Linked DNA regions of Mus musculus. The protein of the gene in region 6 interacts with the protein of the main gene of each other region in a pairwise test. Links are inferred from orthologs where the notes say so. Each region holds a gene or a part of one and is shown on either strand. Other genes may lie near its edges.

The links.
Region 1: the proteins of Lmna (region 6) and Tor1aip1 interact in a two-hybrid assay, tested with the Homo sapiens proteins (2 studies listed by BioGRID). The link is inferred for Mus musculus from reciprocal best matches to the Homo sapiens genes LMNA and TOR1AIP1.
Region 2: the proteins of Lmna (region 6) and Fam161a interact in binary tests that used the Homo sapiens proteins (3 or more experiments, as listed by UniProt). The link is inferred for Mus musculus from reciprocal best matches to the Homo sapiens genes LMNA and FAM161A.
Region 3: the proteins of Lmna (region 6) and Bnip3l interact in a two-hybrid assay, tested with the Homo sapiens proteins (2 studies listed by BioGRID and IntAct). The link is inferred for Mus musculus from reciprocal best matches to the Homo sapiens genes LMNA and BNIP3L.
Region 4: the proteins of Lmna (region 6) and Vamp4 interact in a two-hybrid assay, tested with the Homo sapiens proteins (2 studies listed by BioGRID and IntAct, with this or other methods). The link is inferred for Mus musculus from reciprocal best matches to the Homo sapiens genes LMNA and VAMP4.
Region 5: the proteins of Lmna (region 6) and Iffo1 interact in binary tests that used the Homo sapiens proteins (3 or more experiments, as listed by UniProt). The link is inferred for Mus musculus from reciprocal best matches to the Homo sapiens genes LMNA and IFFO1.

The regions. Positions count from the first base shown.
Region 1 is NC_000067.6:156,033,112-156,038,450, reverse strand, and holds the start of Tor1aip1 (torsin-1A-interacting protein 1), read left to right. Parts: upstream 1-1,970; 5' UTR 1,971-2,215; coding exon 2,216-2,693; exon of another isoform or gene 2,694-2,787; intron 2,788-3,243; exon of another isoform or gene 3,244-3,261; coding exon of another isoform or gene 3,262-3,265; intron 3,266-3,633; exon of another isoform or gene 3,634-3,770; intron 3,771-4,650; coding exon 4,651-4,725; intron 4,726-5,339. UniProt on the Homo sapiens protein: Required for nuclear membrane integrity. Induces TOR1A and TOR1B ATPase activity and is required for their location on the nuclear membrane. Binds to A- and B-type lamins. Possible role in membrane attachment and assembly of the nuclear lamina.
Region 2 is NC_000077.6:23,007,073-23,011,146, reverse strand, and holds the start of Fam161a (protein FAM161A), read right to left. Parts: upstream 2,801-4,074; 5' UTR 2,707-2,800; coding exon of another isoform or gene 2,521-2,706; exon of another isoform or gene 2,516-2,520; intron 1-2,515. UniProt on the Homo sapiens protein: Involved in ciliogenesis.
Region 3 is NC_000080.6:66,987,851-66,992,514, reverse strand, and holds part of Bnip3l (BCL2/adenovirus E1B 19 kDa protein-interacting protein 3-like), read left to right. Parts: intron 1-3,005; coding exon 3,006-3,109; intron 3,110-3,230; coding exon 3,231-3,380; intron 3,381-4,664.
Region 4 is NC_000067.6:162,587,106-162,591,769, forward strand, and holds part of Vamp4 (vesicle-associated membrane protein 4), read left to right. Parts: intron 1-1,090; coding exon 1,091-1,191; intron 1,192-2,359; coding exon 2,360-2,439; intron 2,440-4,664. UniProt on the Homo sapiens protein: Involved in the pathway that functions to remove an inhibitor (probably synaptotagmin-4) of calcium-triggered exocytosis during the maturation of secretory granules.
Region 5 is NC_000072.6:125,143,435-125,148,665, reverse strand, and holds the start of Iffo1 (intermediate filament family orphan 1), read right to left. Parts: upstream 3,443-5,231; 5' UTR 3,410-3,442; coding exon 2,637-3,409; intron 42-2,636; coding exon of another isoform or gene 1-41. Other genes in the region: Nop2 (probable 28S rRNA (cytosine-C(5))-methyltransferase), read right to left, coding at 4,025-4,665. UniProt on the Homo sapiens protein: Nuclear matrix protein involved in the immobilization of broken DNA ends and the suppression of chromosome translocation during DNA double-strand breaks (DSBs).
Region 6 is NC_000069.6:88,499,925-88,505,375, forward strand, and holds the start of Lmna (prelamin-A/C isoform A precursor), read right to left. Parts: upstream 3,429-5,451; 5' UTR 3,180-3,428; coding exon 2,824-3,179; intron 1-2,823.

The DNA.
Region 1 (5,339 bases), on a different chromosome or scaffold from region 6:
CAAAACACCTATACACAATTTTCTTTTTAATGTAAAAGTTGCTTAATTTAGAGAGCCAATATAAAGAACACAGGATTTCTAGAAATAATTTTGTCAGATACACATACCAGTTAATACCAGTTTATTTTTGTGCATCTGTCTTCTCTAACATATGGCAAATTCTCTAAGTAAAACTCTTCATTCTTCCACATTTTTCTAGTTCCCAAAGAAACTGTTTTAAGTTCAAAGCTCAGATCGTCACACTCATGGCCCAGAAAGATCTCTTATAATACTGGAAATGAATCTACTGTCTATAATAATCTTTTAGAATATATTCAAGGCTGGCTCAAAAGAGGTTGGAAAACACCTACAGCAGAATATCTGGTTTGACAAGAATTTGGCTTTAACTCATAGTAATCCAAGTTTGTTTTTTGCAAAGTTGTTAGGTGTGGGTGACAGCTTCTAAAGATGACACATACCTATGACCTAGGCAAGAGGGAAAAATCCTAAGCAAATCTATGTTAAATGCGAAGTTAACTGCCTCTAAACTTTAACATCCTTATTTTTTCTTTGAAAAAGCCACTCATAAAACTACTTTATAAGTACTTTTAATTACAAAACAAAGCACATGCCAATTATCCAATAATCTTTGTAACCTCTCATTTTCTCTGATTGACCAATTATGTATAGAACCTCTTCACTTTCTTTTTCATGTATCCTTCAAACCAGAGTTTAACAAGCCAGCACCCAGGTGTCTTTAGTCATCTGTTGCACACACTGCCTTATGAGCTTAGAATATAAACACTACAAAAATTTATATCCTTTCACTGCTGTACATCTATTAAAGAATTTTTGTGATTGTTGACTGTGTAAATAGGCACTTTACAAACAAAGCATTACTGGAAAAGACACAAGCCAAACATTACCAAGTTATCAGTACTTCTCAGCGTTTTGTAGAAAAAAAAAAGCCACACCCAGTTTTCAGGCTACCACGAATGAGTATCACTTTCGTTTTTCCTTAAGTTTTGTTTTCTAAAAAAGTGCTACCAAGTGTGGTGGCCCACACCCTTAATCCTAGCGTTTGGGGAGCAGCGGCAGGTTGATCTCTGTGAGGCTGAGGCCAGTCTAGTCTACAGTTCCAGGACAGGCAGAGATCACCCTCCCTCCCTCCTTTCACTCACTTACACACACACACACACACACACACACATCTTTAAAAAAAGGGCAGCTGTCTCCTTATGGCTCCCCTTCTTTGTAGTTAATAAACAATGCTAAATGAAGCTCCAAACATGACTCTTGAGTCATCTGTGTTGCTGACCAAATTTATAGACTATTTGTGAAAATTCTAGTAACTGGGAATTTGTCTAAGTTTGAGTAACAACTTAAGGTCATTATTTAAAATACTGGAAAAAGGCAAATACTTTTAAGTTTTTTTTCAAAATCACTGTTATGTGGCTTCCAAATAAAAACTCAAAATCGATTTTTTTTTTTTTTAGGGCTAGGGTATAGCTTATTGGTATACCATTCACGTGAAAATTCAAGAATATGGTTGATATGGCTACGACTCAAAAATGGAAACACACCCCAAGAGTGTAACTAAACACAATTTTAAAGGGTCAACAGGTGAATAAAAATTTTAAACTGGGTAAAAGCAATTTCATAAAGGTCCATGAAACTATAATTTTCGCCATAAGATGACATGCAGAATTGCCTTTCTGATCATTTCTCCTCCCAGGGACATTTGAAAAGGAGTGGCCAAAGTAGCAGGGGAACTGCGCAACAGCTTGGGATCAAGGACTGAAACTTGCCCTTTCCCAAAGCCTCTGGGAGCCAGGACCAGCGCCCCCGGTGGTGGGCAACTGGCCATCAGCAGCTTGGCACAGGCCACTTGTCCTACCACCTCCTGGTCGCCCCCACCTTTCCCTCCAAGGCCAAGGACAGAGACGTCCTCCTCCCCCTTCTCCTCCTCTTTGGTGCCTTCAGCCAGGAGGCGGGAGTGACCCGCAGCAGCTGACCCAGCTCGGGCACTGCCTCTCCGACAGCCCTCAGGACACACCATGGGCCTGGAGGCTGGTTGGTGGCACACGAGCGAGGACGCAGGCGGCGGCCCCGGCGACTCTCAACTGCCTCCCTGACCACTGCGACAACCTCCCCGAAGCCATCGCCACTACCCGCAGCGGAATCTATCTGCGGCCAATCTATCGCCACGAACCGACTACCAGCTACGTAAACAACTATGGCGGGAGAAAGGTGGCAGGCCGAGGGGCCCGGAGAAGGTTGGGCCATCTACGTCACACCCAGAGCCCCCATCCGGGAGGGAAGGCGGAGGCTCGACCCGCGAAATGGCGACAGCAGTGACGCGCCTGCGTACGGAGCTCACCCGTCGCGCCGCGGACGACGGGAAGTGAGGTTTTCAGAGGAGCCGGCAGAAGTGTACGGCGACTTCGAGCCCCGGGCGGCCAAAGAAAGGTCTCCGGGGGGGAGACGAACCCCGCCAGAAAAGTTCCGGCCGGCTTCTGCGGGAGAGGAAGTGAGAGAAAGCGCTTACAACCTTCGCTCTCGACCACGGAGGCAGCGGCGAGCCCAGGAAGCCGAGGAGATGAAGACGCGGAGGTCTGCTCGCCTTGAGCAGCACTCACAGCAGCCGCAGCTGTCTCCGGCCACGAGCGGCCGAGGGTTACGGGACTCTCCGTCCTCCAGTGAGGACCGCGAAGGTAACAGTCTCGGCTGCGGGCTCGGGAGCGCGCGCGGCGGCGGGCACGCGGCGGCAGGCGCGCCCCCGTGGAGGCCGGCCCCGCTCCGGCCCCGCCTGGGTCCTGGTGATTTCTGCGGCCCTTTGGGCGCGCACTCCCGGATTGAGTCCACCCGGACCCTCAAGAGGGAAGGACGCAGTGGGCCGCGCGGGAAGGTGGTGGTGCGAAGTGACCCGAGCGGAGGCGGGCAGCTCTGCCTAGTCCTGGAGCTTCAGTTTGGGGGGTCTAGGTCTCCTCTTTCTGTAGGCTTTTGCTAGAGGTCGGCGGCTAAGCCATTGTCGGAGCCCCAAACTACTCTGCGCTCGGTTTCATTTCCGTCCTCTGAAGTTTCTACTGAAGCCACTTCCATTTCCTTTTTTTTTTTTTTTTTTTTTTTTTTAAATCTCGGGGGCCCCAAGTCCCCAGCTGAAAATCCTGTTTTTAAGTTAACTTTCCAGTCGGTTTCTTTCGTTTTTTTTTTTTTTCACCAAGATTGGGAAAACGAGATCATTTCTAGGCGGATGCTACGAGGAGTAGCTGACTTTAATGAATGGGTTGGTGACATTACTCCAAATACAGAGTCTGGTCTCTGCCAGACTTTCCCCCCAGATTGGAGGCCATCACGGTAATCTTAAGTAGCTAAACAAGTCAAGACTGACAAACTACTGAAACAAAACAAGGTTCTATTTATTAGTAAAGCTTATATATGAAGCCCCAGATGCCAACAGGGTGTGTACTATAGTTTTAGTTAAGTCACACAGATGAACCAAATTCTTCAAGCCATCCTCTTATTCCCTGCACTCGGATATAACTGAGTCACAGGTGGTTCCAGTAAGCCCCATGTCAGTCACCTAATTATGAGGTAAAATTCTGAGGGTTAGAGTCACAGTGGGATGGCCTCCCTAATACATTTGATGCATCTGAACAGGAGTGGATTTAAAGCTTAGAGCACAGTAAACTGGCTTGCAGATTTACCTACTTGCCCTTAAAGTCCTGACACACTTGAAGATCTGTTCATTTGGGAAACTTTATGCTAGAGATGTGCATGCTCTTTTGGATGTAAGGAGACAGTTTATTTGCTTATACATGTCAGCATTTCTTTTAAGATGGCAAAGTTGGGAGAAAAAAAAAGGAACCTGTCACGCATGTATGCCTGGTCGAAATTTAGGTACTTGTGTTAATTCTGTCTCAGAAACTGAGACAGTGTTTGCACATGGGAGGCAATGTAACTGTTACTTTTTATTGACTTTCCCACAGAGCCTCCTGCACCTAAATTCAGTTTACCTTTTATACATTTTTAGAGGATTTAAACATTTCTTTTACCTGACTCTTGAACCTACCTTTTAATTTTTTATATTTTCTTTATTTACATTTCAAATGTTATCCCCTTTCCTCATTTCCCCTCCGAAAACTCCCCTATATCCCCCCCCCCCCCCAACCAATCCAATCCCTCTCCCTGGCCCTGGCATTCCCCTACACTGGGGCATAGAGCCTTCACAGGACCAAGGGCCTAACCTTTTAACTTGCTAAAGTAGCATTTTTGTCGTAAAGCAACAAGTAGTGGTTTGTATGTTGTTTCACTTCCATGGTTTGCAGCTGCACGTACCTGTGTGAGTATGTGCACGTGAGTACAGGTAGCCTTGGAAGCCAGAAGATGGTGTTGGGTCCCTTGGAGCTGAAGCTACAGAATATCGTAAGCCTTTTGGACTTCGGAAGTCCTCGGAAAGAGCAGCAAATGCCCGTAAACACTGAACTCTCCCCAGCCCTCATCATACTCTGTCTTAATAGGATTTCTAACTGGTTTAATTCCCAAGTTTTGAACCTAGAGAAGTTGAATACTTGCATCTCTCTGTATAGATTACTGGTAAATATGCATACTGTGTGCCATGGTCTCTCCCAGGTCATCTAACTTGAATTTTACCTCTTGTTGGTGCTGTAGAGGATGAACCTTCTTCCCGACCTGTTACAAGCCAAACAGCCTCAAAGAAAACTCTTAGAACACCAGAGGCTTCAGGTAAGAAGAGTTTGGTCTTTTGGTTTTCTCTTTTCCTGCCAAAGACTCATGAAGAATCACAGCTCAAGCTGGGCGTGGTGGCATATGACTGTAATCCCAGCACATGGGAGGCAGAGGCAGGCGGAACTCTAGGAGTTCAAGGCCAGCCTGGTCTACAAAGAGAGTTCCAGGATAGCTAGGGCTGTTACACAGAGAAACCCTGCCTGGAAAAAACGTACATCAATCAATCAGTCGGTCAATCACAAGAGGTTTGTGAGTCTTATCAGTTCACTAAATTCAGCCCTATGGGTACTTGCTAAACTAAACAAGGGCGAAAACAAAATGTAAGTTCAACTGTCTACCACTCTGTTAATCTTCAGAACCCCGCAGAGAGAGACGGGAAACTGAAGCTCTGAGTATCTAAGACTCTTCTCTAAGATCACCTGATACATGAGTAAATTAAAATTCAGGCTCAGGTTTGTCTTTGTTTGTTTGTTTTGTTTTGTTTTTCGAGACAGGGTTTCTCTGTATAGCCCTGGCTGTCCTGGAACTCACTCTGTAGACCAGGCTGGCCTCGAACTCAGAAATCCCCCTGCCTCTGCCTCCCAAATGCTGGGATTAAAGGCGTGCGCAAC
Region 2 (4,074 bases), on a different chromosome or scaffold from region 6:
TGTGTGAGAGAGAGAATGTGTGTGTGTGTGAGAGAGAGAGAATGTGTGTGTGAGAGAGAGAATGTGTATGTGTGTGTGTGTGTGTGTGCGAGAGAGAGAGAGAGAGAGAGAGAGAGAGAGAATGTGTGTGTGTGTGTGTACACCAGAGGTCAGTGACAGGCTTTTTGTCCCCTCAGTGACACAGATACAGACCAGATTAGACCAGATTAGAAGTAGATAAAGGCAGGTTTATTAGGAGGCTGCTCTCAGGTGGGCTCACTGATCTCACAGGTGTGAGAGATCCAGGCCAAAGCAAGGGGATCTTGTAGAGTTTAGGTTGGGAGTGCTGCCATGCTAGCTAGGAGCTGGGATTGTGTCCATGCATGGTCAAAAACTGAGCCCCCAAATGGGCACTCTTGGGCAGGCTGTCTGAAACTCAGAGACAAGGAGCGCTGACATGTTAGCTTGAGTATTCTCCAAGCAGACAGTGGAGATTTCTTTAGGTGGGTGGGGTTGGCAGGAGGGCAGATGTAGTTCCCCAGCTTGTGCAGGGGATAAGCAGGGGTTCCAGGCTAACATCCAATCTTAGCTGAATTCCCTAGCCACTGTCCACTTTATTTTTTGAGGTAGGGCTTTCAGCAAATTCCAGGAATCTGCCTGTTTCTTCTCTCTCCAGCACTGGGATTATAGACAAAAGCCAACACACTGGGTTTGTATTTGGGTGTTGGAAACCCAAACTCAGTTTATAACAAAAATCTTCAGTTAGCAGGGCACTCTGGAACATAAGTACAACTATACAAAGGACAGACCTTTCTGCCGTAGTAAGCCAAAGTATAAATCAATTTCCAAGTGAATTGTTCAAGCTGGCAGTTGTTACAATTACTACTAATTTATGTAAATTACTCTAGAAATGACACCCATTCTCTCCTTTGGTTCTTAATAACAACTGAATAAGGTGGAAAACGGAGACAATTATAGTCCTTTTATAGACAAAGAAACAGAAATCACGGCCTAAGATCACCCAGCACATAGAAGAAAACGGCTTCTGACCCGGGTCCAAGCTCTTGCCTTCCCTGGCATTTCACCTTCTGTAACCTATGACAGGCTGTGTTGAATGATTATCAGGTATAAACCAGTCCTAGGGTTCTGAACCTCATAGCTGGTTAGGCTCTGCTTCACTCTACATAACCTTGAAACATTTGCTACAGGCCAGGCCTGGGGCCCCATACGCTTAATCCCATTACTTGGAAGGTGGAGGCAGGAGGATCAGGAGTTTAAGGTCATCCTTAGCCACAAATAGCAAATTTGAGGCAATCCTGGACCAAAGGAGTCACTGTCTAAAATAAAACAAAAAAGCCGAGGATGTAGCTGTTGGTACACCACTTGCCTAGCAAGCACAAACCCTTCGGCCCACCCCAGCACTGCTAAGGAACAGGGTGTCGAGGGAGCGAGTGCCCGTCCTGGTGCTTTATCCCAGCAGAGTGCTGGTTTAAGTCCAAGGTTCCCGGCTTTTAAAGTGAATAAAAGCTGGGCGTTTTTATTACACACCTTTAAACTCAGGAAGCAGAGGTAGGCAGAGCTCTGTGTGTTTGAGGCCAGCCTGGACTACACAGAGTGAGTTCCAGAACAGCCAGGCTATGTCTCAGAAAACAAACAAAAATTTAAAAGGATGCTAAGATGTTTTAACTGTTAAGAGCACTTGCTGCTCTTGCAGGGGACCTGGGCTTGATTCCCAGCATCCATATGGTAGCTCACAACTCTCAGTAACTCCCAAGGCACACATTCATACACATAAATCTAAAAACAAACACACAAAATGAATAGAACAGATGAAGGAGAGGGGGTGGTTACATTCAAAATATACTGTATGAAATTTTTAAAGAATAAAAGCATTGCTGGAGAGATGGCTTAGTGGTTATAAGTACTGGTTGCTTTTCCAGAGGTAGAGATTATGTGTGTGTGTGTATAATCTCCTCCTCCATATATATCCTTCTGCTAGAAACATATAACACATCCAGGACATAATACTGAAAATGTTTTGTGAAAAGATCTCACTGCACCCATATCATCCCTTTAGGGAACTGGGATTTCGGCGGTTTGTTTATCTGGATGCTTCTCTACATCTGGAGCATCTGTCCACTGAACTTCAAACACGGTTTGCTAATGGACTGCTAAAATCCACTCCTAACAAAAACTGATAAAACACACTTGTCAGTACAACTTATCATCTGAAAGTTGATCTTTTATGAAAACTATGGGCACATCAGTTGTCTTCGGGGGGGGGGGGGGCAAAAATAAATGTAAAAATCAGAACTAAAAAATTATTTATTCCCAAGATATACTGGAGAATAAATAGGAAGTAGAGTTCTGTTCTTTGCATACTCTAGAAATAGCTATAAAAAAACCACTCTCCAATAAAGTTTTGCAGCAACCTTTAGTTGGGGCAGAGAGCAGGGAGGGTCTACAGAGGACACCGCATTTCCACCCGTCCTGCCCGAGACGATCGGACAGCCCTCAGACCCCTCCGGGCTCTCACATTACCGACGCCCGCATCTGCCACACTTTCTTCTGTTCCTCCTCCTCCATGGCCGCCGCCAACCCCGCTGCTACCAAGGACTCTAAGGAGTCTTCGCTTTCGTACTGGGCGACCCTTGCTCCGGTGATGGGATTTGCAGACAGGAGAAGGCTGGCTGCCGCCAGTCTGGCCTCCTGGTGCGGCGAAGCCATCGCCCCGCCTCCAAGCCCAAGCGCCCGCGCCCGCCCAGGGCGGCGTGCAGGCGCTGCCACCTAGCTCACAGATCCTGGCTTGGGGCGAGCGGTTACTAGGGGCTCGGTTACTAGGGACGCTACAGGAGGTGGCGACGGACCATAACGCACGCAACGTCCTTTTTCACTGTCACAAATGCGAACCCCGAGTCCAGCTAGTGTCTAATGATGGTTTCTGATACAAGCCTGCGGTTTCTAGAAGCATAACTGTCTGAAGCTACACAAACGACTACCACAGCAAGCTAAAGTAAAACGCAATCTTCAAGCTAATTGCTCAATGGGAGTCTCACCAGCGCCGGAACAATTACTGATTCACTTGAATGACACCCAGGTCTCCGGCAAGGGACTGAGCTTTTCTCTGGTTTCTAGCTTTATTTCTGTCTAACTACCTAAACGAGAACTTCTCGCGGTATACGGACTTAAAGCAGAAAGCGCGTTTTAACTAGCTGGATCAACATATTAGGGCACAGAGGGACAGGAAGGACCGGGTGTTGGGTGACCATCCCAAGAAAAGAACAGGCTTTGCAGCGCGCTATTCAACATGGCGGAGAACCCAGTTCATCTCTAATTGACAAGAACCAGCGGGTTGACCAATCAGAAGGAGAATACTTATTTGTCCCACCCTCTTTTTTCTCGACTGACCAGTAAGACACTAGACATAGGAAGTGTCTGTCACTCAGACCAGTGAGTGAGATGTGGTAGCTTGTCTAGCGGTTCTGCAGCTAGCTTAGCGGCAGATTAGAGGGGGCGAGAGCCTACAAGGACCACACCCTCCCAGCTCAGCCCTGCCAACCTCCTGATCGGCCTCAGGTTTTTGGCCACTTTGGATGCTTTTTCAGTGAACTCTCAGCCACCTGCAGCATAACACTTTACTTAGAACCCCAGCTAGCGCCCCTGTCCCCACCCTAAGGTTCCAGTACTTTCCACGTTATGCGGCACACCTTCCACAGAACCTGTTTCTGACGCAGTTGTTACCACCCCTTCCTTGTTCCCCTCTGCGAAGCACCTATCACCTTACCTTCCCTGCCTCCTGTTTCAAAACGGTTGAGCTTGCCTTTTCCAACGGAACTGATGATGGATACTGGTTGGTTCTGAAAAGCTAGATGTGGGGAGGGATCCATAGCCATCTGAATGAGAGAATAGTGACTTTCTGCCAGCCACATGCAACTAGTTCTGTGATGGGACTTGGTGTAAACAAGACCTATTGACAGACTGAAGCCCTGTAAGTGGGATGGTTTTAGGAACATGAAATAGTAAATAATGGATATGAAGGACATCAGTGTGTACATAGAATAGGAAAGTTTCGGCTGACAGTATTCTAAATTTGCA
Region 3 (4,664 bases), on a different chromosome or scaffold from region 6:
TGAGGAAAAATACCAGGTACTTACCAGTCTTACTGGGTGCTGAGTTATGTAAACAAAACAAACTCAAAAACTTCACACTTTAACAGTGTGGTGTTTTTAGTCCAGTTAAGGGAAATGGGGAGAGAGACACTTTGTCCTCATGGTTATCACTTAAGATGACAATGCAAGTCAGTGTTGGAGTCAGGACTGAAAGCAAATCCAAGCCCATGATCTATCTATCTAGTCCTTCCACTGAACTAACCTCTGAAGGGAGTTAGTCCCAGGAGAGCTTGCTGGGCACACAGAGAAACTTGACAGGACCGCAGAGCCGTGGGGTGGGGATTCCTAAGCTGGCACAGAGCGTTGTTCTTACTGATAGGACGATGGTACTCATGAGGCCCCATTGTGTAGCAAGAAACATTTACACTCTCATGCCGACACTGTTGTTGTTGAGAATGGGTCCAGTGCAGAACTGAGATCTTTGGAAGTAGCTTCTTTCTTATCTTGTGAGACTCTGGTTTATTTGTATGTGGATACAGGCGTGCAGCTTACTATCCCGGTTTAGAGACTTTGAAAGGAAGATTAACTGAGTGTAAGATAAGGACTGTGAGGTGGTGAAGACAGTTGACTGGAAGCATGTGTCCAGGGAAGAGCAAAGCATGAGTCCTGTGTGGTTAGATGAGGGGCCCTTTTGTCATATTCTTTAGTCACAGGAAGATGGCTTAAAATCTCAAAATGAACCAAGCATAGTGTTAAGGTTTATTGCAGTTTCTGGACTCAGGAGGCTGAGAATCATGAGATCTATAGGGCAGCCTAGGCTCTAAAGAATGTTTGAGGCTGTCTCACCATCCCCTCTCCAAAACTCTGGGATTGACAAATTTCAGACAATAAAAGAATGTAGAATCATGTTAATATTAGAGTTTAAGGTTAGAAATGTGTTTGTAGACTAAAATAACTATATGACTCCAATGGTAACTTTGCTTTATTCCCGTGGAGGAAATCTCATCGTATTCGAAAATTCAGAGCACAAATCTCTCTGTTTGTACTCTGAAAAGAATAAAATATTAACTGGTTAAAAAATACCTAAGCTAAACCAGAAAGCAGGCATTCTGGGAGGCCAAAGGAGGAACTAAGAACAAACTACCATCTGGCTAGAGTGCAGTTACTGAGGCAAAACTCTTGCCTAACATGTGGGAGGCCATGGGTTTAAGTCTCCAGCATTGCTGAAACCAAACCAAAAGAACAGGGAACCAGCAAGACAGCCTGAGTTCCACCCCACATTGAAGCCCCAGCACCCACATGGTGGAAGGAGTAAGTCAGCTTTTACCTGTTGACCTGTGGCTTCTACATGTCATAAATAAACAAACAAAAAATGAAAACAAAAGAATCTCCTATAGGGGCTGGTGAGGTGGCTCAGCGGTTAAGAACACTGGCTGCTCTTCCAGAGGTCTTGAGTTCAATTCCCAGAAACTACATGGTGGCTCACAACCATCCGTAATGAGATCCAATGCCCTCTTCTGGTGTGACTGAAGACAGTGACAGTGTACTCACATAAAATAAATAAATCTTAAAAAAAAAAAAAAAGAAGAACCTATAGTAGTCTGAAAACTCACAAATGTTGTGCACACATGCTGCTCAGTGCTTGCAGCATGACTGCTGATTGGCTTCTGCCTGAGGATGATCTCAGGGTTGCTCCACAGAGCCAGCTCATGATTCTGAGTAAGCTCAGTGCCTGCTGGGAAAAGCTCTGTCTTAAATGCTGCATTGTGTTAGTTGGTGGAATTTGCCAACTTCAGCAGAACTAGATAAGGACCGTGCTGACAAAGGGACGCAAACATCCCCTGAGCTTTTGGCTTGGATTTGGTAGTAAAGGGGTGATGTGTAGAGCCAGGCTCACACTCCCAGACAGCTGAGTCCCGAGGAACTGGGGCTATGGGGAAAGCGTCCTGTGAAGAGGCCAGGTGGCTTCAGCTGTCAGTCAGAATCAGAGTTTTGGGGCTCTGGTTTGGAGTCACAGCCTCACATTCCTTTGAAACTAAATAAATACAACTAATGTGTCATTTTTAGGAATTTTTCATCTCTCCCTTTCTGTTAAAAGAGTTTTCCAGACATGATAGCCCAAGTCTATTATCCCAGCAGTTGAGATCAAAGGCCAGCCTGGCCCCATATTGAATTCCAGGTCAGCCTAGGCTACAGAATGAGGTACTGTCTCAGAGAAACAAAAACAAGAAAAGGCATGTGGAAATGTAATGGTTTTTTGTTTGTTTATTTGTTTGTTTGTTTTTTTCTGGCCTGAAAGCTTAGGTTATCATTAGCAATAAAAAGAATATTTTTCATTTATTGCAATAGATGTTAACTTCTGGCTCACTTCAAAATAGCTTATTCCAGAAAAACTTGACTAATATGTTTTCAAAATCTTGAGAAATATTCATCTTTAAAAAAAAATCTTTCAGAGAGTAAGAAACCTGGGCCTTTGGAGCAATTTGCCTGGGTTAGAAAACAGTAGTCTTCCCCTTTAGTTACGAGGCCCTCAGCAAGGCACACACGCCCTGTCCTCATTTGTAGAGTGGAATGCAGCAGTTTCTGTTTGGAATTGACCATGGTAAAGTTTAATGAGTGACATTGGCTTTAGTAGATGCTGGTCTCAGGTGGTTGGCAGCCTCATGATTTACCACATCCCTTTGCTAACTTCCTCACAGATTTAATTTGTTCCCATCTCCTTTTTGGTATGTTTATTTTAAATGCAGTTGGGAATATGTACAGCATAGGAAGTTTAATGTTGAGAAGGACACAGTGAAACACTACGTGTGCATCCTCGGGTTCAACAGCACCAAGGCCACAGCATTGCCACCCCTGCAGAGGACTTTTCCAGGGTTACAGTCTACTTCAGTTTTAGAAAACAGCTTGTTTCCTCCATTAAAATCACCAATACACAACTTTGTATTTAGTTTGTTTTTTTATTAAAAAGAATTGTTCTTTTCTGTGTTTCTTTTGTTCCTTTCTTCTCACTGTTTAATTCTTTTTAGTCAGAAGAAGAAGTTGTAGAAGGAGAAAAGGAAGTTGAGGCTTTGAAGAAAAGTGCAGACTGGGTATCAGACTGGTCCAGTAGACCCGAAAACATCCCACCCAAGTAAGTTACTGCATGTGTCTGGGCGGGCGGTGTGATTTCTGTGCTCATGTGGAGGGGCTTGCTCAGGCCCGGCATCTGCAGCACTTGTGGTCTGATTCCAGCCTCTGAACTTCTTCCCCAGAGAGTTCCATTTCAGACACCCTAAACGTGCTGCGTCTCTAAGCATGAGGAAGAGTGGAGCCATGAAGAAAGGGGGCATTTTCTCTGCAGAGTTCCTAAAAGTTTTCATCCCATCTCTCTTCCTTTCTCATGTGCTGGCCTTGGGGCTCGGGTAAGTACCCTGATAGAGTCATCATGTGACTTAATGGGACTTAATGGGACTAGGCAACAAGGCAGTCAAAAGAAAGGAGCCATCATTATTTATCTTTTATGAGTTATTTAAAATTTGGCTAATTGTGAGTAATGTATAAATTATTAAATATAAATGTAGGAGTAAATGAAAAATGCTACCCTCCCTCCCCCAGATGGTAAAACACCATTGTGGAGCATGATTCTGGAATACACTGGTAGGCTGCTATGGGTACCGTCTTTGTCTTTTAAACTTTGTGGCATTTATTCAAAAGTCAGCCAGTATTTCCCTTAATTCATTAACTTGTGGCATGTCTTTTCAATTAATAGCTTCCCCCCCCCCCCGATTTTAATATTTTAAGAAAACATACTTCTGAAATATTTTAGTTTATAAACATTAGCTTAATTAATATTAGTTTCAAGTCCTACCTACTATGCTCTGAGCATGCCCAGTGAGTCTTTTTCTGTGTCTGATGCATGGAAAGTGGATCATTGCTGATCTTGCTATGAGTGGCTCAGCATAGCAGAGGGAAGTGCCTGCTCTGGAGCATGGGCAGGTGTGCATCTTCCACTGTCTCTCCTGTAGAGGATCTGTTCCTCCAGACAGGGCCAGTATTCACAGACAGCTGAGTGAGAGGCGCTTGTGGAGGAAACAGGATAGGAGAGTGTGGAGCTTGGGAGGACTCGTAATACCTGCCAACTATTCAGTTCATTTACCACAAAAGCTTGGCTTGGGGGCCTTGCAGTATTTCTTGCTTTCATGAATCTTCAAGCTTTGTTGTTGCTTTAATTAAATTTAACTCTTACCACAGAAAATGTTTTAAAGGGGCCTTAAAAATTGCTGCGATATTGTTGAGGAGTTTGCTGCCTGTTTTTCTTGGCCGTTTTTTGCTTTTGCTGTTGAAAGGGTCATGTTCTTGCCTGGTATTGGAAAGCCATGTTAGGTTCCCATCTTAAAAACACTGGCTCTGTGACCACCATCTCTCTAGATTTGAAATAGCAAGAGAACATTTTATCTAAAAGGACTCAGTTGGAGGCTGGGGAGTGCTCTGCTTTGGGCTTTGAAGGGTTCTAATTTCCTTAGCCTGACCTGGCTTAGCATCCCTGCCCTTGAGCTTTCCAGTCCTGACTTAGAGGAAACAGAATCCATACAGCCATTTGCTCTGAGCTCATCAGGGGCCTGTAGCTCAGTTGGCACATGCTGTTTTAAGGTTGGGGAGTCTGGGAAGTGTGCACAGAGTCTTTCAGGGCTGTCCCAGCTTGTCAG
Region 4 (4,664 bases), on a different chromosome or scaffold from region 6:
AGTGTAGGACAGGACGGATGATCTCTCTCTCTCTCTCTCTCTCTCTCACACACACACACACACACACACACACACACACACACACACATACACATACCCACAATGACAAATACATATTCTTATTTGCTTAAATATATGTGGGTTTCTATGTGTATATAGTTGCTAATAGTTATTATGCTTTACACATTTTTTGAGTTATAAGGACCAGAGATTCACTTTATTTATCTTTTTATATATTTCTTATTTAATGTTTCTTATTTAAATATTATTATATAAAGTAATTTAAGATAGATATTTGTCTATGGATAGAACATCAGAGGAATACTAGACATGCAAGTATGTCTGTGTTTTTGTAGGAGGTAACTCCTAAATGACAGATAGCTGAGAACATCTGACTAATTCTTCAGCTTGTTTCAGTTTTCATTAACCACTCTGAGTGTGATTAGAAGAGGCTCCCATCACATAAGGAGGAGAACATCTTCATTTATACACTGAATTGTTTTGTTTTGTTTTTGCCTATTAGTGAGCATTTCCCAATATTCTTTGGTGCTCCAAGTTGTCTTGAATCTTGCCTAGGCTGAAGAGAAAACTAATGAGCACTGAAGAGTTACATCCATTGGGTATCCTGTGGCTCAGAGGGGTGCTGTACGTTTCCATTTTGGGAACTAGCTATTTCTCATTAGCCTTCAGTAAACCCGGTGAAGCACGTGGTAAGTCTTGTGGCTGGAGTGCGTTGCAGAGGAAGGTGGACTCTGATTACTAGTTTTAACTAGTCTTTCACTACTTTACTGACAAGAAGATGAAACATTTAGAGTCACACTGAGCATTCTGTCAGTGTCTGGTTTGCTTGTGAGCTACATTGAAGATAGAATCAAGACTAAAAATAAGCTGTCAGTTAAGTATTACTTTAAAGTGTATCTTTTGTCCTTAATTACTTGGCTATTCAGACCCAGAAATGGAAGAACGCTGCTTACTTTTATAGTTTAATGACAACTCTCAGTTCTCTGAGAATTTGCCACATCTAGTAAAAGTTCTAAAAGTGTGGGGTTTTCTAAAAGAAGAATAAATGTTACCTTTTTTTTCAAACTAGTGTTCAGAATCAGGTGGATGAAGTTATTGATGTAATGCAAGAGAATATTACAAAGGTAATTGAAAGAGGAGAGAGGCTGGATGAACTACAGGACAAATCAGGTACAGCCACTCGCTGCCCTTCTTGATGTTGTGACTGTGTGTAGCTAATGCTTACTTTCCGTTTGTCTGATCGCCCACCCGCCCGTGTTCAGGAATCGTGGCTTCCGAGATCAACATTCAGTTCTTAAGCTGGATTTCCATGGCTTAGTTTCTGCCCATTAATGTAAATTATTGTACTGTTTACTTCTTACTGAGACAAGAATGGAGAGTTTAAAACTTCGTTGCCAAAAAGTTAAATCCTCTTTTCTCTTGCCCTGTCATATTGATGCACTTTGTGTTTCTTCGGATGTCAAGATGTTAAAATCTAATCCATTTTTTTTAGTACTCCTTTTAAACTTGCCTGCTATTTCTATTTAGTCTTCCCTGGTACTCAGGTAGTCTGTATTTTCCCACAGATGTTAGTCTCTGTGCCCATGATTCCTAGCACACTTGGACCTCGCGTATTGTTTGGATGATGACTTACGCTTCCCTGGAAACTTAGCAACTGTTGTTTACAGGCAGATGTTAGTCTGAGCCTGTAATGGCTCTTGGCACATGTTAGCCCTTCTTGCTGTGTTAATGGTGAATAGCTGTATGCCAGATTCATTCTTGATAGATTTGCTTGATTTTTTTTTTTCACTCAAAATCAGTTATCTTTGTTTTCTAAAAATTAAAATTTTTTTTTGTGTGCAAATTTTTTCTAGAGATGTGCCAAAGTATTTATTTTGTTTCTGGTGTGGGATCTAGTGTGTACATCAGGGATCTGCCCATGGGCAGCATCCCCAGCCCCTAATTTAAAAACTTTTATTACATTAATTGTGTGCATGTGGAAGCTAGGGACTTGACTCTGTCCTTCCATCACGTGGGGCTCTTTGTGTCAAACTTAGGTCGTCAGGCTCTGTGTCCAGCTTATTTTTAAACTCTTATTTTCTTACCAGAACTAAGTTCGTGGATAAGAAGAGTTCTGGAAATCATGAGTGGGTGTCAGGGTGAGGGTGGGAGAGTTGACAAACTGACCTTCCACTGTGTTTTCCTTTGTTTTGTTTGTTTGTTTGTTTGTTTTAATGGAGACTGACAGACTCTGTGGGAACCAAATTTTAAGAAGTAGTATTACTGTTTATCTTTGTATGACTATATAAAAGAATGCTGTTATGTCATTTAATCCTTCTCTCTACCCTGTGTGATATAGAAAGCTTATCGGATAATGCCACCGCTTTCAGCAACAGATCCAAACAGCTTCGAAGGCAAATGTGGTGGCGTGGATGCAAAGTAAGTGAGGGGTGGGGGAGGGGCAGCGAGGCAGCAGCGAGTCTCTGAGCTTGTGAGGACAAACACTGGAAGGGCCTTGCCCAAAGCTTCCTCCCCTAGGAAACAGGAGCAGGGCAGTGCCTGAAAGGCTGCACTCAGCTCTCACCATCAAAGGGCCCTGCGTTGGTAGGGATTCAGCATCTGGACACGTGGTGACAAACACGTGCCCTTCTTAGACCCACTTCCACTTCTTCCTAGCTCTTGGAGAACAGTTCACTGTGTACAGAGTGGGTTTGAATTTGGTGTTTTGTTTTTTGTTTTCTGATGAGAATGAAAATTTGAGGAAAGTGTGATTTTGTTTTATTTTCATAGTGGGAAAAACAGTAGCAGTTTGTATGCCAGAGACTCTCCTAACAAAAGATTAAGGAAAAAGACTCATTTTATTCCTTCATAATTAAATTTTAATAAGGACAAATGGAATCACTGCATACTAATATTTCTGCAGAAATGAATTTCTCTCTTAAATATGAACAATCATGAAAAATATCTTGATTTTTCAAAAACAATTATGTCATGAGAACAAGTGTTTCCTTTTTCATCTTGAATCTAGGTATGTGTTTTTATTTTGCCAAAATCCTTAAACATGGATTTATTGTTTTTAACCCCTCATTTTAGGGTTCAGCAATAATTTTCTAAACCCAACTTTGCTATATGGTAAGGATCTCTTCGAAAACATGTCTTCGAAGAGAAAACATGAAACATGATTTACCTGTGAAATATTCTGTTCCCAGAAATAGAAGTGAAGGAGGACAAGTTTCATTGTTCTCTTCACAATGAATTTTTTTCCCATTTATTTTTGTTTGCTTCAGAGAATAAATTTTGTATTTTCTTTCATTTCTTCTTCTTTGCCTCCTCCTCTAATGTTTTAAAGAGATTTAAATATATATAGGATGGTTTTTTAAACAGGCAAGGCCTTAGTTTAACTTTGTGGACCACGGATAGCATCCAGCATCTAATAAACAGCATTATATCAGTAGCAAGTGCCTCCTCCCTAAGGGTTCTGTTTCTTCAGTCTCCTCCTACACTATCAGTCACGGTGTTCCTGCTCATCTGGGGAGGTGCCCCAGGCCTCCTATTTTTTGGATTGACTTTCATCGTAGTGATTTAGGAAGGCTATTATAAAAAAGGAGATTGGAAAAAAAGATATCAGAGGCTGCCACTGGGGGAAGGGTGTGGGGTGGTAATGGGCTGCCGCTGATAATGAAAGAGCTTTGAGCAGTGGTAGGACTGTGTCTGTCTATGACAGTGTTAGATAGATGGGCGCTGCCCCAAGTTAGAAACCCGAGGACGAGCAGACGTTTCAGTACAGGCTCTTTACACTTTTCTTGATATTTCCATTTCCATTTTGTAAAGTTCAGCCTAGTAATTTTATATTAATAGGACACATTAATATATGTTTTAGGAAAGCTACTCTTAAATTCCATGTTATTTAGAAAATATTTTTAGGTTAAATAAAGAATTGAAGTATATTTTAGTGTAAGCTCAGGTTCAAGACTTTTTATATTTTTAAGTTATAATTAAAAACCTGGGCTTTTATATCTAAATTCCAAAGCTTTTTGTATATTCCTTGCGTGACTTTGTTGGTGTCACGGCTACAATGTCACGAAGTGTTAGCAGTCAGTCTATGTTTAAAACATTTAATTCCTAGAATTTAACATTTAATTCACTAGAATGAATCAGCCTTTTATGATATTGAATATACTGATTTTTTAAAATTTTTCAAATGAACCTTATAAAATCTTGGAAATAAAAATAAATCACACACAAAATTAGGCAATATATCTTGATGGCCTTGTGTGTAGTTAGAACAGCCACTCTGAAGCTGTGGAGGCTCACACACTGGACTTCACTCTTTCATGGTCTAGTACATTCTTATGCACTGGTCCACTAGAACAGTGACTTATTTTAAGACTGGCTGCCCTGAACGCAGAGATTTCCAGTGAGTTCCCTGCCCCGAGTGTTGGGAGTAAAGGCATGATCACTCGTGCCTGGCAGCCACAGCCATTTTTAGTTATGTACAATGAAAATGGTGAACGAAAGCAAGGCTTTTGATTCATCAAGGAGATAAAATTAGTTTATATAATGTATGATTTTAAAAGACAATACAATGGTGATTGTGGCAGTTCCATGTAGAAAGATAACATGAGCTTAAAGTGTCAAGCGGCTGACTACAGTGTGATCTTAAG
Region 5 (5,231 bases), on a different chromosome or scaffold from region 6:
TGCACAGGCTTCTTCTGGCCTCAGAAAGGAGGGCAACGGAGCTGAAGAAGAAGACTCGAAATGAGACCCATGGAGAGGAGGCAGCCGAGGACAGCCTCTGCAGTCAGGAGGACTAAGCTCTCGGGCCCCTTCTCTCCTTGCTCCTGCCCCTCCCTCGCCCTCTCGGGTTCTATGACTCTCCCATGTCCAGCACCTACAGCCGCACTGCAGTGTTCCTAATAATAACTCCAGGCAGCCAGGGGAAGAGGCAGCCAGCCTAGCCACCACCCTGCAGCTGACCATGCAGCTCAGCTGTGGCCCTCCCTCACACCCTCTTATCCTGTTTCCTGCCAGCCCTGCACTCCCCCTCGCCTGCTTCTCCCTCTGTTCCAGCAGTGACAGAGTCTGATAACCTCACGTTACACGTTTTCTTACATGAGACCTTTGTCTTTGCTAGGCTCTGGTTTCTTCCTCTACAAGTATGGGATGTGGCATCCTGTGTGCCTAGAGTCTGTGAGTCTCTAGAGGAAAAGCCCATAGGATAGACAAGAGGTTACGACCCTGGCCAAGACGCGTCAGGGATGAACTTGATAAATCCCAGTGAAACACGAGCAAGTTTAAGGCAAGATGATGCTTAATGAGATGGCTCATACAGGGAAAGAAATCTGAATTATCTAGATGCCCGCAGTGGTCTCCAGCCAGGTACCGATGGGTGCAGTGTGGCCTGCATTCAAATCTCAGTTTGTTTGTTTTTTTTGCAAGGTTCCCATAACTTGGGTAGAATCTGGGCAAATTTCATAATTACTACATTTACCAAAGGCTTCGCCTGCAAATAAATCCTATATTTGAGTTGAAGGGAAAGAGCAAGGAGCATCCTTATTACTGGAAAAACTGAGCCCCAAGAAAAATATCACCCAGGCAAAGGAGCTAAAGACAGGAGCTAGGGGGTGGCGGGGCCTCCATCCCGCCCAGTTTAATAATCAAGCTCTGCATGCCATCCAGGCTAACGGAGTGGGGTGTGGGGGCACGGTGTGAGGAGCTCAGAAGGAGGGAGGGGGCACTGGGGTGGAAGGGCGAGTGTCGTGTACCATGCAATCCTAGCCGCGGGCCCTCTGCACGACCCTGTGCTGCAGTGATGAGCTAACCAGTCCCCAAGGATAACTCTTTGCTGCCCAAGACAGCTGCACCAAGGACAAACAGTCTCTGTTTTAAAAGATGGCTTGGAGAGGAGCAGCTGTTCCTAGGACTAGAGCAGAACTCCAGAACTGTCCATGCTCCACTGGCTGTTAAGCCCTTCAGGGGAGAAGGCAGGTGCGGGCAGGCCCTGGGCGGTGCCTAGAGGCTGGGATAACTAAAAACCCAAAGACATGGGCCACAGTCATGGAAGCCAGGGTGAGGATTGAACTTCAGGAAGCCTGCTGATGCATGCGATCTGGGGGATGCTAAGAGATCACCAACCCTTGAAGGTCACCCAGAGCCTACAAAGTGTTTCCAGGGCCTCCAAATAGTCCTCACACACGGCTATAACCAGATAGCGATCCCTGCCACCTTGGCCTGCACACACAGACCAGGCTATCCCCCAAAGGGTCACATTAGGTAAGACACTGGAGCCTCCAAATCTGGGCTTCCCCTCTGACCGCCACCAACTTCCTCCTCAACCAGGGCCTGGTCAGCCTTGAGAAAACTCTCTCTGCCTGTGGCCCTGTCCTGTTGCCTGGTTACCAGCCATCCAGGGAGTCCTCCTGGTAAACAGCCAGCACTCCAATGTGACATCCCTTCCTCTTAACTCTTATGTTAACCTGCTGGGGACAGGGTTCCTCTCAGAAAGCCAAACCTTCACCCTCAGAACACACAGTGCTGGTCCTGAGATAGCCGATCTGTATCTCTGTAGGGCGTGCCCATGTCCCAACTTTTTTTTTTTACTTGGTTCTGGTTGGAGATTCTTCTGATAGAGCGCCCCCACCAGCTTTATGACAGCCATCCCTTCTCCTTGTCCTAGGAGACCCCATACCCTTTCTCTCTTTTCCTGTGTGTTTTGACTGTTCCAAGCAATATCTTTAGCTTCCGGAGTCCTTGAGCCTCTTGTATGGAACCAGGGTGAGACCTGGCTTCTGGGGACATGCCTTAGAGGAGGCCCTGGGCAGGCACAGTCGCCCTTCACTACCTCCTTCCAACTTCACTTAATTTGCCTCCAGAATTAAAGCCGCATCCTTCACCCCATATGTGGAGTTTATGTCCTGAAATTGCCCCCAAGGTCTGAAGCTGGCCCGACAACCAAGACCCACAGATGCAGAGCTCTCTCGGATGTCTCCCTTTCATACCACACAACACCCCACAGTTAGCAGAGTCACGCAGACACTGCAGCCTGCATAAGACAGGGAGACATGCCAGAAGAAAGCATCAGTTCCCAGTGTTCTAGAAGGCTTCGAGCCACCAGTCTGACTTGAGAACTGTCTGTGGATTCTGGGGTCCCTGCAACCAAATCTTTCCCTGCTCCTCACTTTTCATCATCACAGGAAGTTCAACTCTTGTTAACACGATTCTTGCCCTCCGCCCCCCACCCCCCGCCCCCCACTTCTCCGTTCTAGGAACCCTCACTAACTAACTCCCTGCCCCTGTCGTGTCTGTGTGGGGCATGTCTTGAACCCTGTCCCTACCTTCGCTTGTACTCGTCCCGCTCCCGCTTCACTTTGGCCAGCACGTTGTACAGGGCACGGATCTCAGGGGTGATGGTGTCGATCTGGACGCCCACCCCGTCAGGGTGTACCCACGACAGGCCAGGCCCTTGCACCAGCGTGGGTTCCAGTCCTGGTCCAAGCCGGCGGGCGTGAGAGAAGGACCAGATGGTGCCAGGCATGAAGCGGGTCGACGAGGAGAAGGCAGTGGATGTGGAAGTGGAGGATGATGTGTGGCAGGCGGCAGAGGATGCTAAGGGTCCAGCTGGCGAGCGGGAGGGCGAGCCCAGCACCCGCGCTGATGGGGGGCACACGGCGGCCGGCCGGGAGCTCAGGGGCAGCCCCAGGGGCCGGATCGGGCTGATGAAGCCGGTCTGTACCGCCTGGTCACGGCGGGCCAGGCCCCGCCTGCCCTGCTTACCCTCCTCTAGAGCCTGCTGCAGCTGTTTCTCCAGCAGCCGATTTCGGCGCTCTAGCTCGTGCACCTTGGCTAGGAAGCAGCGAAACCGGAGGTTCAGGGTCTTCAGTACGTTGATGTTGGAGCCTAGGTCGTTGCGGAGAGCCATGGCTGCGGGGGGCGCCGGACCAGGCCCCGGAGGCGAATAGGCAGAGGGGCCGGCCGAGGCAAGCGGAGCCGAGGCTAAGTCCCCTCCCCCGGCAAAGTGGTCACCTCCCAGAGGGTCCCCCAGCGGCCCGGCCAAGCCTTGCTGCTCCTGCTGTAGGAGGAAGAGGTTGGGACCAAATAACGGATTCATGGCTGCGCCTTCTGCCGGGAGAAGGAGACCAGTGCAGCAGAGGGTGAGGAGAAGAGCCAATGAGATGCTTGTGGGATACGAGTGACCAATCAGATAGCCCGGCAGGAGGGCAAAGGTCATAAGGGAGGGAGCAGAGGGGGCCAATGAAAGGCCCTCATTAGGGCATCAGCGCTGAACCTTTCCCGGGTCTGAGGCCCCATGAGTGGGGTCAACCCCGGCAGGAGCCAGACTAGCCCTTCCCGGGGAGCCACAGCCTAAGATTCTGACTGTAGGCACAGGACCTCTGGCTCTTTAGAGACAGTCTTCCCTACTGCCCTCTCTTCTACCTGGTACCCTGGGTCGGACTCCTTTACTTTTTCCCATGAAGACTAAGAAATGGAGGGAGAAATTTACCATTTGAATAGTCATTTGAATAGTGCACAACTGTCTCTCCCCAGAGAAACCCAGGCCCACTTTCCTACAAACCGCCAGTACCCAGTCCCCTCAAAAAACACAACAGCAACTAGGAGTGGTAATATGTATATTAAATTTCATATGTATGCACAGGGGGAGGCCAGCCTTGCATCAGGATCTAAAAGTTCCAACCCAGAGACAATGTCAAGTTTCCAAGTCCATTTAAGACAACAGAGGCTGGCTGTTGCCCTTTGTCATTGATTTCCTCCTTTTTGCTGGTGGGGGCCTGGTGGAACTGTGGGGAGACACAAAGGGGGCTGAGGGTCCCTTGGAAACAGCATCTTCTTTCAGGGGAGCAGCTCCATTAGCAGGCTGCTGTGCTAACTGCTGCTTTCCTTTCTGTTTCTTTTTGGCTTCCCCAAGGGATGGAGCACAGTCCTTAGGCCTTGGGGCAGCACGGATTTCAGAGGGAGTCGGCACAGGAGGTGTTCTCGAGTCCTCAACCCTGGAAGGGGCGCTCGGCTTTGGGACAGCAGCCTCCTTAGAGGGCTTCCACTTAGGTCCCCGCTGCTTCAGCTTCTCAGACCTCTTTCGTTTGCTGTTCACGTCAGCATTCCCAGCAGACTGACTGGGCCTGGTAGACACTTGGGCATCTGGGACAGAAGGTTCAGTGGACAAGCCTGGCCCTTTGGCGATGCCGTTCAACTTCTGGAAGGGCTTCTTGGAATGTGGCTGTCTCAGCAACTGCTGCTTTGCCTTCACAGCCCCACGGGCTTTCTTGGTGGGCTGACTACCGTTCTCAGACTTTGGGGTGACCTGATCCTTCAGGTCAGGCTCTGTAGGGGTAGCTGCTGCCGAGTTTCCTGAGGTAAAAATTAAACAGATGGCTTGATCATTAAGAAACAAGGCAGGCAGATTTCTGAGTGAGGCCAGCCTGGTCTACAAAGTGAGGTCCGGGACAGCCAGGGCTATACAGAGAAACCCTGTCTCAAAAAACAAACAAACAAAAACCAAGGCAGTTGCCAGGCAGTGGTGGTGGCACAGCCTTTAATCCCAGCAATTAGGAGGTAGGGCCAGATGGATCCGAGTTCCAGGCCAGCCTTGTCAACAGAGCCAGTCCCAGGAGAGCCAGGACTACATAGAAAAACCCGGTCTTCAAACACCAAAATCCAGGCTGGTGAGATGGCTCAGTGGGTAAGAGTACCTGACTGCTCTTCTGAAGGTCCGAAGTTCAAATCCCAGCAACCACATGGTGGCTCACAACCATCTGTAATGAGATTTGACTCCCTCTTCTGGAGTGTCTGAAGACAGCTACAGTGTATTTACATATAATAATAATAATAATAATAAAAAACCTGGCAAAAAAACAAAAAAAAACCCACCAAAATCCAAAGAAACAATAACGAAGGCCCACACCTTAGGATAGTGC
Region 6 (5,451 bases):
GGTCTTACTATAAATATAGCCTGGACTAACTCTGTAAGCTAGGCTAGCCTAACCAGAACTTCTGGTGATCCTCCTGCCTCTGCCTCCTGTGTGCTAGAATTACTATCAGAGGTTCCAAGGAAGAAGGTAAGAAGGTTTTATGGGTAACAGTGCGTGCTGCCAAGCCTGATGACATAGTTTGACCCCCAAGCCCCATATTAGATAGGAGAGAACCAAATTCCCCAAGTTGTGTCCTACCGTGCACACCGTGGCCCATGTGTGTGTACTCTCACACACACTTAAATAAACCTCAAGATAGGGGAGACGATAAAGGGACCCCAGGATGCTGTGGAGAGAGGATAGCCGATGCAGATATGCAGACAGTCTATACTCCCTGTCTCCTGTTGTCTCTTATAAAGCCACTAGGGTAGGAGGGGTGGCGTCTGAGTCATTCATGCAGCTGTCTAGCTGGAGGAAGGCTTGCCCAGCCCTAAGCCTGCGGTGAGCCTTCCCTCGCTTCCAACTGTCCCCTTCTCCCAGCTTAGATGTCTAAACCTCCTGAGAAGAGGAGGAAAGAGGGAAGGAGAGAGTTGTTTTGTCTCCTCCCCCCTCTTCCCCCCCCCCCAGACAGGGTTTCTCTGTGTACCCTGGAACTCACTCTGTAGACCAGGCTGGCCTCGAACTCAGAAATTCACCTGCCTCTGCCTCCCAAGTGCTGGGATTAAAGGCATGCACCACCACTGCCTGGCTTTGTCCCCCCTCTTCTCCACCTCCTCCTTGTAACTTACAATCCACCTTGAAAAGCAGAGGCCTGTGGGTGCAGTTGAGAGACCCAACTTGAGCTATGCCACAGATTGTCACAGGGTCTCACAGTTCTGTCTAACTCCAAGCCTGACCCTGAACTCTGAGCTCCAATTAAACATTAAACTGGTCACTTTTCCCTACCCGGCCCCTGGTGGGAGGGGCTACTGGACAATGCCTTTCATCCTCCCCAGACTTCCAGGGCATTTCTCCACCTCAGTCTGAGCTCAACAGCTATAGAAAGGGGTAGCAGCCGTGGTCTTCTATGATGGACACAGAAGGTCAGGCACTTAGCCTCTGCTCCACCCCACCAGCAGGGACCTAGGTGTGTATACCCACCCCCTTCCCGGAAGCCCAGCCTCCTCAGTTACCATCAGTGGAGAATAGAGGCAGGTGGCTAAATTTAAAAAGTCCACACATCACCCAGCCCCTACCCAACGTGTGTACACACCACCTGGTGTCCCAGGCTGGACAGCTGCACTGGGGGCAGGAGACTGGCATGGCTAGATGAACAAGAAGCTATAGATTCCACTGTCCCTGTCCCCACATCTACTATACAAGTTCTACACCAGGATCTGCAAGAGCTTTGGTGGCTGACTTAACTAGTTTAGATCACTAACTAGTTAACTCACTGGGACTCCTCTAACTTGCCTCATGTATTTCTTGATAAGGTGTTCATATCCCTAGTGGATGGATGAAAAGGCAGCTAATTCCTGTTAGCAGAAAGAAAAGCTGGACCCATCTGTGCACATGACCTCTGCTCACACTTGAGGCAATGGGCTTGCCATACTCACCACCTAGGGCTGGAATCTGGTAAGGAATAGAATGACCAACCACAGATACACAGTGGGTTTTGTCAGAAGATAATGCAAAAAGGAAAAAGAGGAAGAGAAGTCAAAGCTACCAGCCCCTTAGGTATCAGTGCGCACGTCCAATGTCCAAAGCTCTTTGTCTTGGGTCTACAACATAGAAGAAAAGACCACAGACACAGAGCGAAATGGAAGTACAGGGAGCAAGAGCCCAAACTTCCAGGCTTTGGAAAGCCTTTTTAGAAAGTAGGTGGAGCCAAGTAGGGTGGGGTAGGGTGGGGTAGGGATGGGTGCAATGGGAGTGGCCTGAGGCTCCCTAACGGCTGGATTTCAAAAATGTCATTGTATTCCAGAGGTTTAGTAAGATCAAGACATCAACAGTTCAGAGGATGGGCCAGAGTAAAGTCTGGCTTGACTAGAAAAATGAAAGTGGCTCGCTGGCTGAGCAAGGAAAGGACAGAGCTTCCAAAACCCTTAAGTCACCAAACAGAGAGGGCCCAGACTGGGGTGTCCCCGACTCAGGCATAACAGAATTTCCAGAGCCATTAGCTTCTGTGCCCGGTCTCCCTCCCCACCCTCCCTTGCATTCCTCGACCAGGGAGGCCAAGGGCTGTGGGAGCTGCGGGGGAGCAGATCTCCTGGTGTGCTTCTGGTGGGCCTGAGAGTCTAGGAAAAGCTCCAGACATTCTCAGCTCCTAGAAAGAACCAGGAGAAGGCCGTGCTTACACAGCCATGGGAGAAAGGGGCTATGCAGCCTTGGTAACTCCATTACAGTACCACTGGACAAATGTCAGTGTGGGCGCTATGTCTTAGTGGACATCATGTGTTCAGAGCCACGTTGGGCAAGATTGGCAAAGTGCCAAACCTACCAAGAAAGTTCTAATAAAACCCTTTCACCCATTCTGATGTGTCCCGGGCGGCGTTCGGGAGTTCCAAGACCTGGTAGAGCCTGTTCTACCTTCCTCAAGCCCATCCCCCAAGCTCCAAATGACTGAAAAATCCCACCTTGACAGCATAGGCCCTGTCACCAACGCTACTTGGTCTCAATGCCCCCACCACTCTTTATATCCCCCACCCTCTCACAGAGACCCCCTCCCTTCTATGTCCTATCATGTCTATTACCCTTGGCACTGCCAGTCACCCGCGGGAGGCAGTTCCGGGGAGGGAGGGGACTAGATGGCCAGTTACAGGCGACTGCTGCCTCCCTGGTGCCGGCCGGCCGGGCCTCACTCACCGAGCCTTCAGCTCCTTGAACTCCTCACGCACTTTGCTCAGCTCTAGCTGGAGGCGGGCGCGCTCCTTGGCCACAGAATCAAGGGTCTTGCGGGCATCCCCCAGCTCGGCCTCGTAGGCCGCCTTGATGCCGGACACCTCTCGGCTGACCACCTCTTCAGACTCAGTGATGCGAAGGCGCAGCCCCGCGTTCTCGGTCTCCAGGGAACGCACGCGATCGATGTACACGGCCAGGCGGTCATTGAGCTCCTGCAGGTCCTCCTTCTCCTGCAGCCGGGTGATCCGAGTGGGCGACAGTGGGGTAGAGCTGGCCTGCGCCCCACTGCGGGTGGCGCGCCGCTGTGACGGGGTCTCCATGGCCGGCAGGGTGACAGTGCTGCCCGCTGGGCAGGGGTCCCGAGAAGGGCGCGGGACTTGGACAGAAGGACAGAGGCTGCTCAGGGGGACAGCGAGCCGGCGAAGCTCGCTCCTGGCAGGCGTGGAGATCTGGGCTGGGCGCTGGCGCACCTCGGGATCTGGGTTGGCTGGTGTTGAGGCTGAGGCAGCGTTCCCGCGAACACTGAGTCACTGACAGCCAGGCAGAGGCTCTAATAGGCCCTCCTCTACAGGGGGTGGATCCACTGCTCTTAAAGGAGCCATCCTGTACCCAAAGGGGCGGGGGCAGGTATGGTGAGGAGGAGCCAGCATGCCAACCCTCACTCTGCAGAACACCCCTTTCTGGCCTGGGGCTTCACAATGTTGGTTCCTGCCTACTCAACTCTAAGCTTGCCTTTGGCCTTCTGGAGTAAAGAGCAGAGCCAAAGAATTTGAGTGGGTGGGCAAAGGGTAGTGGTGAGGGACCAGGGGAAGTAGGTGCAAAGTGAGGGAGAGGATCAGGCATCCCCAGAGAGCCAAGGAAGTTGGGGGGAGGGCTGAAGCTGCTGCCCATCAGTGACTCACCCCACTTCCACCACTGGCTCCCCTTTCCTCAGTAGTAATAGTGAGTCACCTCTCCCCCGCGCACAGAAGCGGCCAATCCAGGAGAGTGGAATGGCAAAGGAATGGCTGTGTTTTTAGGTAACTGAGGGATTACTTTATGCCCTCAAATTTGGGGGCAAAGATCAAGGACCTCGGGAAAAAACAAAAAACAAAACCCAAACCTATGCACTTCCCTTATATTTTTGGCTTTAAAACCAAACATTGGGTTTTAGATCTAAGAAATAAGCCTCAGTCCCCAAGAGAAGGCCAAGAATAGAAGCCAGAAGTTGGCCCCGCCCACTCCCCCCTCCCCTTTCATTTGGACCTAGACAGCTGGAAAAAGGGGCTGCTGAAATCCCTCGTTTCAGCCCCTTTCTTCAGCTCACTCCACCCAACCAAATCCAAGACTGTACTTATTTTTTTCCAGGACTGTACTTATTTTAATGGATAATTTAAAACAGATACCAGAGCTGTGCTGTGCGTGCATTCAGCACATGGCCAGGACACCAGGTTCCAGATTTTTGTGGCTTCGAGAAGGGCCTGAAAAGAGGAACGGGGTCAGAGGGTTGTTAATGCAGGGTCTCCATCCTGGTTCCATCTTAAACGGTGTGAGCAAGAACAGCAAAGCTACCCCCTCCTCAGCCACTGCATGCCTGTCTAGCCAGTTCTGGGTGGGCCCTGACTAGATGATCTCCCAATACAGTAACCTGGTCCCCTGGTTCCATGTCCCGGGGTCTCCAGCCTCCATCAAAGACTCCCGATCAGCTGTCTAATCCTCTCCTGTAACCCTAGCCTAAGCCTTACTGGCCCTGGCATCCCCTTCTGCCATGTTCCTTCCCCTTTTGCCATGTGCTTTCCCCTGTCCATTGCTGATTAGCTTGCAGTTCCTGCAGGTCCAGGCAGTGGGCTTGAGTTGGGACTCTTAAGAGATTTTGTTGTTGCTGCTGCTTTTTTTGTTTTTTTTTGTTTTTTTTTTTGTTGTTGTTGTTGGTGGTGGGGGGGGGGTTTGTTTTTTTGTTTTTTTGTTTTTTTCTTTTTTTGGTTTTTCGAGGCAGGGTTTCTCTGTATAGCTCTGGCTGTCCTGGAACTCACATTGTAGACCAGGCTGGCCTTGAACTCAGAAATCCACCTGCCTCTGCCTCCCGAGTGCTGGGATTAAAGGCGTGCGCCTGGCGCTTTGTTTTTTCAAGACAGAGTTTCTCTATGAACTTCTGGCTGTCCTAGAACTCATTTTGTACACCAGGCCAGCCTCGAACTCAAAGATCTGCCTGCCTCTGCCCCCAGAGTGCTGGAATCAAAGGCACGTGCCACTGCCACTGCGCTGGGTTCTGGGAGAGTTCTTATTTCTGTGAGGGTGACTCCAGTGTGGTGAGGACCCAGGATGCATCTAGGGGAGGGAACCTAGGACATGGCTTCCTTTCCCTGTAGTCCCTCGGGCTGTGTGGTTGCCATTCAACTTCCCAGACAAAACAACAGCAAAAACCATTTCTTCTGCTTCTCCCTCCCCTACTTCCTAACCAAGAAGCAGAGGCGGGTGGGTGAGCCAGTGGTGGAACGTGAGCAGTGGGGCTCATGCTGTTCCCTGTTCCCGCTGTCTCAGCCCTTCCTACCCACCCCCCAATCCCTCCCTGGCCTGGCTTCTCTTCCTGGCTTCAGTAGCAAAACCACATTT